Linked DNA regions of Tribolium castaneum. The main gene of each other region encodes a partner of the protein of the gene in region 2 in a complex. Links are inferred from orthologs where the notes say so. Each region holds a gene or a part of one and is shown on either strand. Other genes may lie near its edges.

What was found.
Region 1: Xpd (region 2) and Polr2G share a complex: the UniProt entries of both Homo sapiens proteins name them as parts of the TBP-based Pol II pre-initiation complex. The link is inferred for Tribolium castaneum from reciprocal best matches to the Homo sapiens genes ERCC2 and POLR2G.

The regions. Positions count from the first base shown.
Region 1 is NC_087398.1:9,594,832-9,597,865, forward strand, and holds Polr2G (DNA-directed RNA polymerase II subunit RPB7), read right to left. Parts: upstream 1,456-3,034; 5' UTR 1,329-1,455; coding exon 1,317-1,328; exon of another isoform or gene 1,268-1,316; coding exon 1,158-1,267; exon of another isoform or gene 1,107-1,157; coding exon 947-1,106; exon of another isoform or gene 895-946; coding exon 844-894; exon of another isoform or gene 795-843; coding exon 657-794; exon of another isoform or gene 609-656; coding exon 558-608; 3' UTR 504-557; downstream 1-503. Other genes in the region: ras-related protein Rab-18, read right to left, coding at 1-115, 165-232; uncharacterized protein LOC107397903, read left to right, coding at 1,824-1,824, 1,877-2,070, 2,121-2,830, 2,895-3,034. UniProt on the Homo sapiens protein: Core component of RNA polymerase II (Pol II), a DNA-dependent RNA polymerase which synthesizes mRNA precursors and many functional non-coding RNAs using the four ribonucleoside triphosphates as substrates.
Region 2 is NC_087394.1:27,629,762-27,633,693, reverse strand, and holds the end of Xpd (general transcription and DNA repair factor IIH helicase subunit XPD), read right to left. Parts: coding exon 3,683-3,932; intron 1,508-3,682; coding exon 1,229-1,507; intron 1,179-1,228; coding exon 792-1,178; intron 746-791; coding exon 611-745; 3' UTR 563-610; downstream 1-562. UniProt on the Homo sapiens protein: ATP-dependent 5'-3' DNA helicase. Component of the general transcription and DNA repair factor IIH (TFIIH) core complex, not absolutely essential for minimal transcription in vitro.

The DNA.
Region 1 (3,034 bases), on a different chromosome or scaffold from region 2:
TATTGCCAGCTTTACGGTGTTGTCATCGACTGTGAGTTTTTTGGTTTTAAAATCAACGCCAATTGTTAGCGTTTGATCAGGATCGAAGTTGTCTTCAGTAAAGCGGACTAAAATGCTAAGTAGGTGGTAGTAAGTGGGGTAAATAGTTTGGTTTCTTGTTCTACCTGGATTTCCCGACGCCACTCTCTCCAATTATCAGGATTTTTAACGTCGTCAACACCTCTTCGTCCATTACTAATCAACAATGGGGATTACGCGTAGTTATGAAACTAATGCGGAAAACAATATTTTCGTGGTTTCTGGAAGTAATGCGATTCTTCTACAATAACTGGCACTGAATTTTGTTGAAACCAATTATAACTTTACGATTAAAAAAAAATTTAACAAATTTTAATGACAATTACTTGACATTGACATGTTTACAACAGTAAAACAGATTTCTGCATTGCCTGCAGTCTGCAACTAAACTTTGAGAAGCGGGTAATTTGAAAAGAAACGCCATATAGTGATTGAAAAAACTTTTTATTGACTTAAAATACATTAAAACGCCCTTACTTCTAGTTACTTATCAAACCTAAATAATCGTCCATCAAAGTACCAATTGCAAACTAAAAAAGAATCGTAAAAAATTGGAACTGAAATATTTGATTTATTACTATTCCAGTGGCATCCACACGTGTACCAACTATTTTCAATCTAATTTCTCCTTCAGCATGAATAACAACATCCTCATCTTTGGTTTTGTAACACTGAGGATTTACATTTGGACAAAACTCCATCTCTGCCGGTATAGACTAAAAAATAGTGTCACAATATTATCACACCCTTTAAAAAAAAACTCACATGATGTGAGATAAAGCATGATAAAGGTCCAATTTCTGCAAACATTCCCACCTAGAAAAAACCCAATCTTGTAAAAAAAGAAGTGAAAATATTCCGTAATCACTTTGTTAACTTGCCGTACGACAGCATCAAGCACTTCTCCCTTAAATGGTCTGAAAACTATAGCTTTATACTTTACTGGATACACCACATATCCCTGGCCAGGTAAAATAAGGCCAGCCCCTATGCTATCTATCGTGGTTACAGCAATTACAAAACCGTATCTAAAATTAAAGAATGAAGATAAACACTTTTAAGTAAATTTGAATACAGACTTTCCCGTACAGGTCCCTTCGACTTCTGTATACAGCTTGGTTTTCACCTTTTCAAGTAGCTGTGGGCCGAAATATTGCGGGTGTAATAAAATTTCATGCTCCAACGATATCTAAAAAGTATTGTGTATAAAACAGTGATTTATTTAGTCGTAATATTACATGATAAAACATTTTTTTTGTTTAAAAACACAAACAATTCCGCGTTAATTTGCCGCTCAAATCTAAGGTTATGTTTTTGTTGGCAGTTGTATCAAATACCAACCCAACAAAGCGCTAATAATTAAAATTAGTAATTTATTTTTGTTGTTCAATGTTATTAAGTTGTAAAAGTCCATTCCATACTTAACAAAATGATTATTTAATCATTCCTATTGTTATCTCTTATTGTTAAGACACCTAAATTTTAAAATACGCGCTATCAGTCGTGACGTCACCTCCCCACTCTTATTACGGTAGGTCAGTTGCTCAAAGCTAAACAACCAGTCTTTTACATGTGGTGTAATACGTTTTTCGGTTTTTTGGTTGTGTTTGTGCGTTAATAACGTGTCAAATAGCTGCAGCGGGTGTAATTTGTGCCACTAGAGACTTTAATTTAATTTAGAAGTGACTTTTTGTGAAAATACGAACTTTATAAAAGAATACAGGGAACCACGTTGTCGGTGAGAAAGTGAGTAAGCTTTAATTATACTTTGAGAAACTATTATATTTATGCATTTTAGTGGCAGAAAAGCACATTGTTAAGTTTCACTTTATTGCGAAATTTTTTGGGGACGGTAATCGCTTTTTAGTTCGGGGAGAAAATGCTTTTACCAGCGGTCACGTCACCAAATTTAGGTTTGATGGCACAGTACAACCGATGAGAATTTCTGCAGAAGTTCTACCGAGCATGAAAAAGCTAAATTATACTGTGGAGGTTTGTATTTATTTAACTGTTAGACATTTCTTCTACAAAGTGTGTTTTAGATTTCATATGACCTAGAAGAAGGGGTTAAGACGGCACATTGTACCTGCCCAAGGGGCAACGTGGCTTGCCATCATATGGCTGCAGCATTATATTATGCTCATTATAATGTAAGTGCTACTGACATTGAGTGTCAGTGGAGTGCCCCATCAAAAACAACACCACAAACAGAAGTCATTAAGTTAGCTGATGTTTACAAGCCGAAATTATCAAACTATACGGCACTGTCTAGGTCCTCTACTGAGGACGAAATTATTCAGTTCCGTGCCGAAATAGGCGTCACGAATGTGGTGGGCTTCACTTGGCTCCTAAGACCAGAAGCAAGTGAAGAAGCCAGAAAAATTATTGCAGATATCGAAGAAATTCTACAAAGCTTAGAATACGTGCAGGCCATAGACAAACAAAAGTTTCTTTTGGAGAAGTGCAGAATAGATGAGGCACGCATTAAACTGGTTGAGGCGTGCACTCGGGGCCAACATGTTAACGAAAATTGGCATGTAGCAAGGAAACATCGTTTAACGGCCAGCAGGTTTGGCATGGTACTATCTGCTTGCAGTAGACGAAGATTCCCACCCTCTTTATTTAAAAATTTGGCGGAAGGCTATTCGCTTGACAGGGTTGCTGCTGTGCAGTGGGGTAAGACCCACGAGAAGACAGCGCTCAGAGAATTTGAAGAAGCGACGAATCTTAAAGTCCAAGAGACGGGATTTTGGTAGGTCGAAAATAATTAACACGTATAACTTAGATGAATAATGTAATATTACTTTTTTTTGTAGGTTGGAAGAATCAGGCTTTTTGGGAGCAAGTCCTGATGGATTAGTGGAAGAAGATGGGATTCTCGAAATTAAATGCCCATATAAATATAGGGACACTGACAGTTTGTCTGAAGCCCTGAAGGATAAAAAATATTTTTATT
Region 2 (3,932 bases):
AATTGTTATTAGTGTATAACATGCTACATAGCACGAGCTTGTACAATATAATGCATTGCACCAAACATATTTTTTATCCTCTCGGTTGTTTTTTTTTCAGATTAAATCGTTAATTTTCTGTTGCGAAATGTTACAACTATTTAAATAGTTTGCGAATGAGTGTAGATAATTATCTTCATCCGAGTTAATTACGGAAATCCAGTTTTTAATATCAACCATCAGCAATCTCGCTACTTATCAGAAACCAGAATTATCCATATATTCTCTTATTGGTGACATAAAAACGAGTCAGGCATTCAGATTACGTTCTATTCACGCAAAAAACCTAAAATTTCTGGTTACGAACAACTATTATGCATTCTTGTCTAATAAATAATCGTCAGTTTCCTTTTTAAATATTCTAACTAACTTCAAACCCAATTAGTACTATTCCAAGTAAAATCGTAACTAGTTTTCTCCTTCACTGAACTTGCAGCGCACACCGGAAACAATCAACAAGATACCTCGTACTAAAGGAGTGTAAGTGCATTTTACGCTCAATTGGGTCAGGAAATCAGGAATAAAACATTTTTTCTTGAAAATACTTTATTACGTAAAAAATAATAACAAATCAATTTTGTTGCGCCTGCTCTTGGATTTTACTCGCCTCCAAATTCTGCAACTGCTCCAAAGTGAGCAAAGACACCCCCAACTGGTCCTCCCTAGTGAACGGCTGCGCCATCTGTCGCAACCACCGCTTGGCAATCTGCAAGTCAAACTCACGCCACTCTCCCTCACAACCCCCAACTCACCTGGACCGCCTCCTCCGTCGACAGATTCGTCAGAGAGTCCTTCAAATGCTCCTGGATCCACTTGGGCAACTTTGACCGCTTATCCGACCTGGAAAACCTCTTATCGGCGAAAATCATGATACCGTAGTCGGTCTTGCCCCTGATAGCCCTCCCCACGCACTGGGCCGCGTGTCTCATGGCGTCAAAGGTCAAAAAATCGTTCTCCCGGATCTGGAACTGGTCCCGAAGGTAGTCGAGGCGCGCTTTGAGGATGCGGCTCTGGGTGTACACGTAGGGAATGCCGAACATGAGGACTGCGCGCCCCAGGTGGTGGTCGAAGTCGACCCCTTCGGAGACTTTGCCCCGCGCGACGGAGAGCAGCACGGCCCCGCGGCCCGACTCGCAAGCCTGGAAATTCCTACTTTACCGACTGTGGACAGGCTGGGGGAAAAACATACTTTGATGTAGTACATGAGGGCGAAGCTCGTTTCTGCCGAGTCTTGGGTCTCGATGAAGAGGAGTTTGTATCTTTGGAGGCTGTCGATGACGCCTTGGTCGTACCAACTGGCCACGACCGATTCCAGGTAGAGATAAGAGGTGAAGAAACAGACGATTCCGTCGGGGACATTGGCGGCTATTTCGACCAAGAGTTGGCCGTAGTTTCGGATAACAGCATTGTCTTCGCGTGTCTCGAATTTTGACGAAATTGCGACTTGGTCGTTGCCTTTTGACACGATCTAAAACGACCAATGAGATGATGATAATGATGTTAAAAGTATACAGTTAGCGGCAAAATTATTTAAAACCACACTCGTAGTTATTTGTATACCAAGAGAGGACAGACATAGGTTCTCTCCCGAAGTTGAACTAATGCCCAAAGCGAAGCAGAGTACAGTAATCTAAGGAAGAGAAGAGACTTTCTTCCTCCAGTGCTATTATTATACGTATGATTTTTTCGCCGTCTTCATTAAAAGATATCGTTTTTCACCCTACAGATATTCCATGACATAACTTTAAAATGCAAAAATTGTCCAACAGGCTAATTCTCTTTTCAATTGAACTGAAAATTTTACAACTTTAGGTTTTTGAGTAATGGTCTCTCGAATTTTTTTAATGGAATCCCTAATTTTTTAGTCTCTTCGAAACATCTTACCCTCTGTTTCTAAGACCACTTATCGTCGGATAGATTTTTATTGGTTGCATATTTGCTAAAGTAGTGAATGGAGATGATCTGATGGGTGTTACGCAACCGATAGAATTTAACGAAAGCCCGTTCTAGAAATGTTAGGTGACAACATAAATTTTAATACTACTAACAAAAAGCAAACTAATAAATTTGTTATTTCGACAAAAAAAATCATGAGAGTAGTTTCAAACACAAACCTATTACCTTCTTTTTGTATTTTTGGAAACAATTGGAGAGAAAACAGAGAATAGACCACAAAATTTAGACGATTTGAAAAGTCCGGAAGTTCTTCGTAATGTGGGAACATTTCGAAAATTTTAATTAAATAAAAGAATTATTTTTTGTTAGATATTTGAAATTGTGTTTGTTTTTTGATGGTATTAAACATTTACGCTTTTCACTCTTTTGGATAGTTTTTTTTATTTTTATTTATTTTGGTTCAACAATTAAAAGATCTATCGACATGGCTAAAAAGAAATTGATTTGTTCGAGCATTTCTGCCATTATAAAATATCTTAGGTTTTAATAAGATAATAGTTAATAATAATTTATCCGCTCACTGAATATGGTATGGAACCAAGCGTTTTTTGCCAATACTACGAATAAAATAAATTAAAATAAAATAATGGGTACATTATCAAGTTTGTTAATAATGTAATTATTATTTTTGAAGAATAAAATTTTTCGGAATGAATGACGATTTATTGATTAATTTTAAATCAAAAGTATCAAAAGTTTTGAACTTAATAGTAGAAATTTCTAAAGATAAGATCCAATATACTCTTTCACAGTAATACAACTTTCAACTTCCGAATTACAAAAAATTCTGTTACCATTTTCTGAAATACCTACTATTAACTGGTTTAAATCATAAGCAATCTTTTTTGATATCAATGTTTTGATTTCAGGGCTCCAAGGACAACAGAAAGGGTAAGTTTTTACTTTTTTGTAAGTTGTAATGAGTGTTTATGTTACGGACACGTTTGTTCATCTTTTTCCAACTAATCAGACCATATTATATTTAAAAATGGTGAAATATATCGTAGTTGCATTTTTATCAAATTTGCGGAACATCAACTGCATTATTTTGGCACGATTTTTGAACAGGTTCCTAATTAATTAAATGGAACATCCATTTTTTTTTATTTTTCTAAAAACTGTATGTTATGTCTGAAGTTAATAAATCAAAAGATATTTGACTTTAAATGTTAATTCAGTTCTTATTCAATAAATAAATTATAGTAATTTCCACGGATAAATGGTTCAGTTATTTTTCTGTAATAAATGACGAATAATGGCCTAAGCGTTGTTATTAGCTAAAATTTTCATTTTTTCCACTAGTGAATTTTTTTCATGTTTAAAGGTTAATATCGCATCTTTTGAGTAATTAGTTAATTACTAATTACTGTAAGTAAGAGACACCAATCTTTCAATATTTTTATGTGATAAAACTTAAAAGTTTCCTCATTTTTTTAACTCTCCAAAAAATGTTGAAACATACCTACTTTCTTCCTTAAAAATGATTCAATTTTTTTTTTTTTATTATTCTTGGTTTTTGAATAATTACCCCAAAACTTCCTCACAAAGAGTCATGAAAAGCTACGTTCAAAAATGCAAAAAATAAACGGTGTTTATTCCGCACATATACTATAAATTTTGTGCAAATTTATTTAAATAACTTAACATTCAATGGTCAATGATGAACTCCACCAACCTCTGGACTTACCATTGGTAGCAAACAAGGCCTGGCCAACGTCATAGTGAACGAAGACATGATCACAGGATGGAAGTTCAAAATCTTGGGGTACATATCTAGAGGGGATAGGGTTCCAGAGGTTATAACCACGGTTTGAAACCGATCAAAAACCGGTTTTATGGCAATCGACGAATCCAAACAACTGAAATGTAAGATCGGGTTTGACACCGTCGGTGTCTTATCATCAAACGGTTCTACGATTATCGTAAAACCTTTCGTA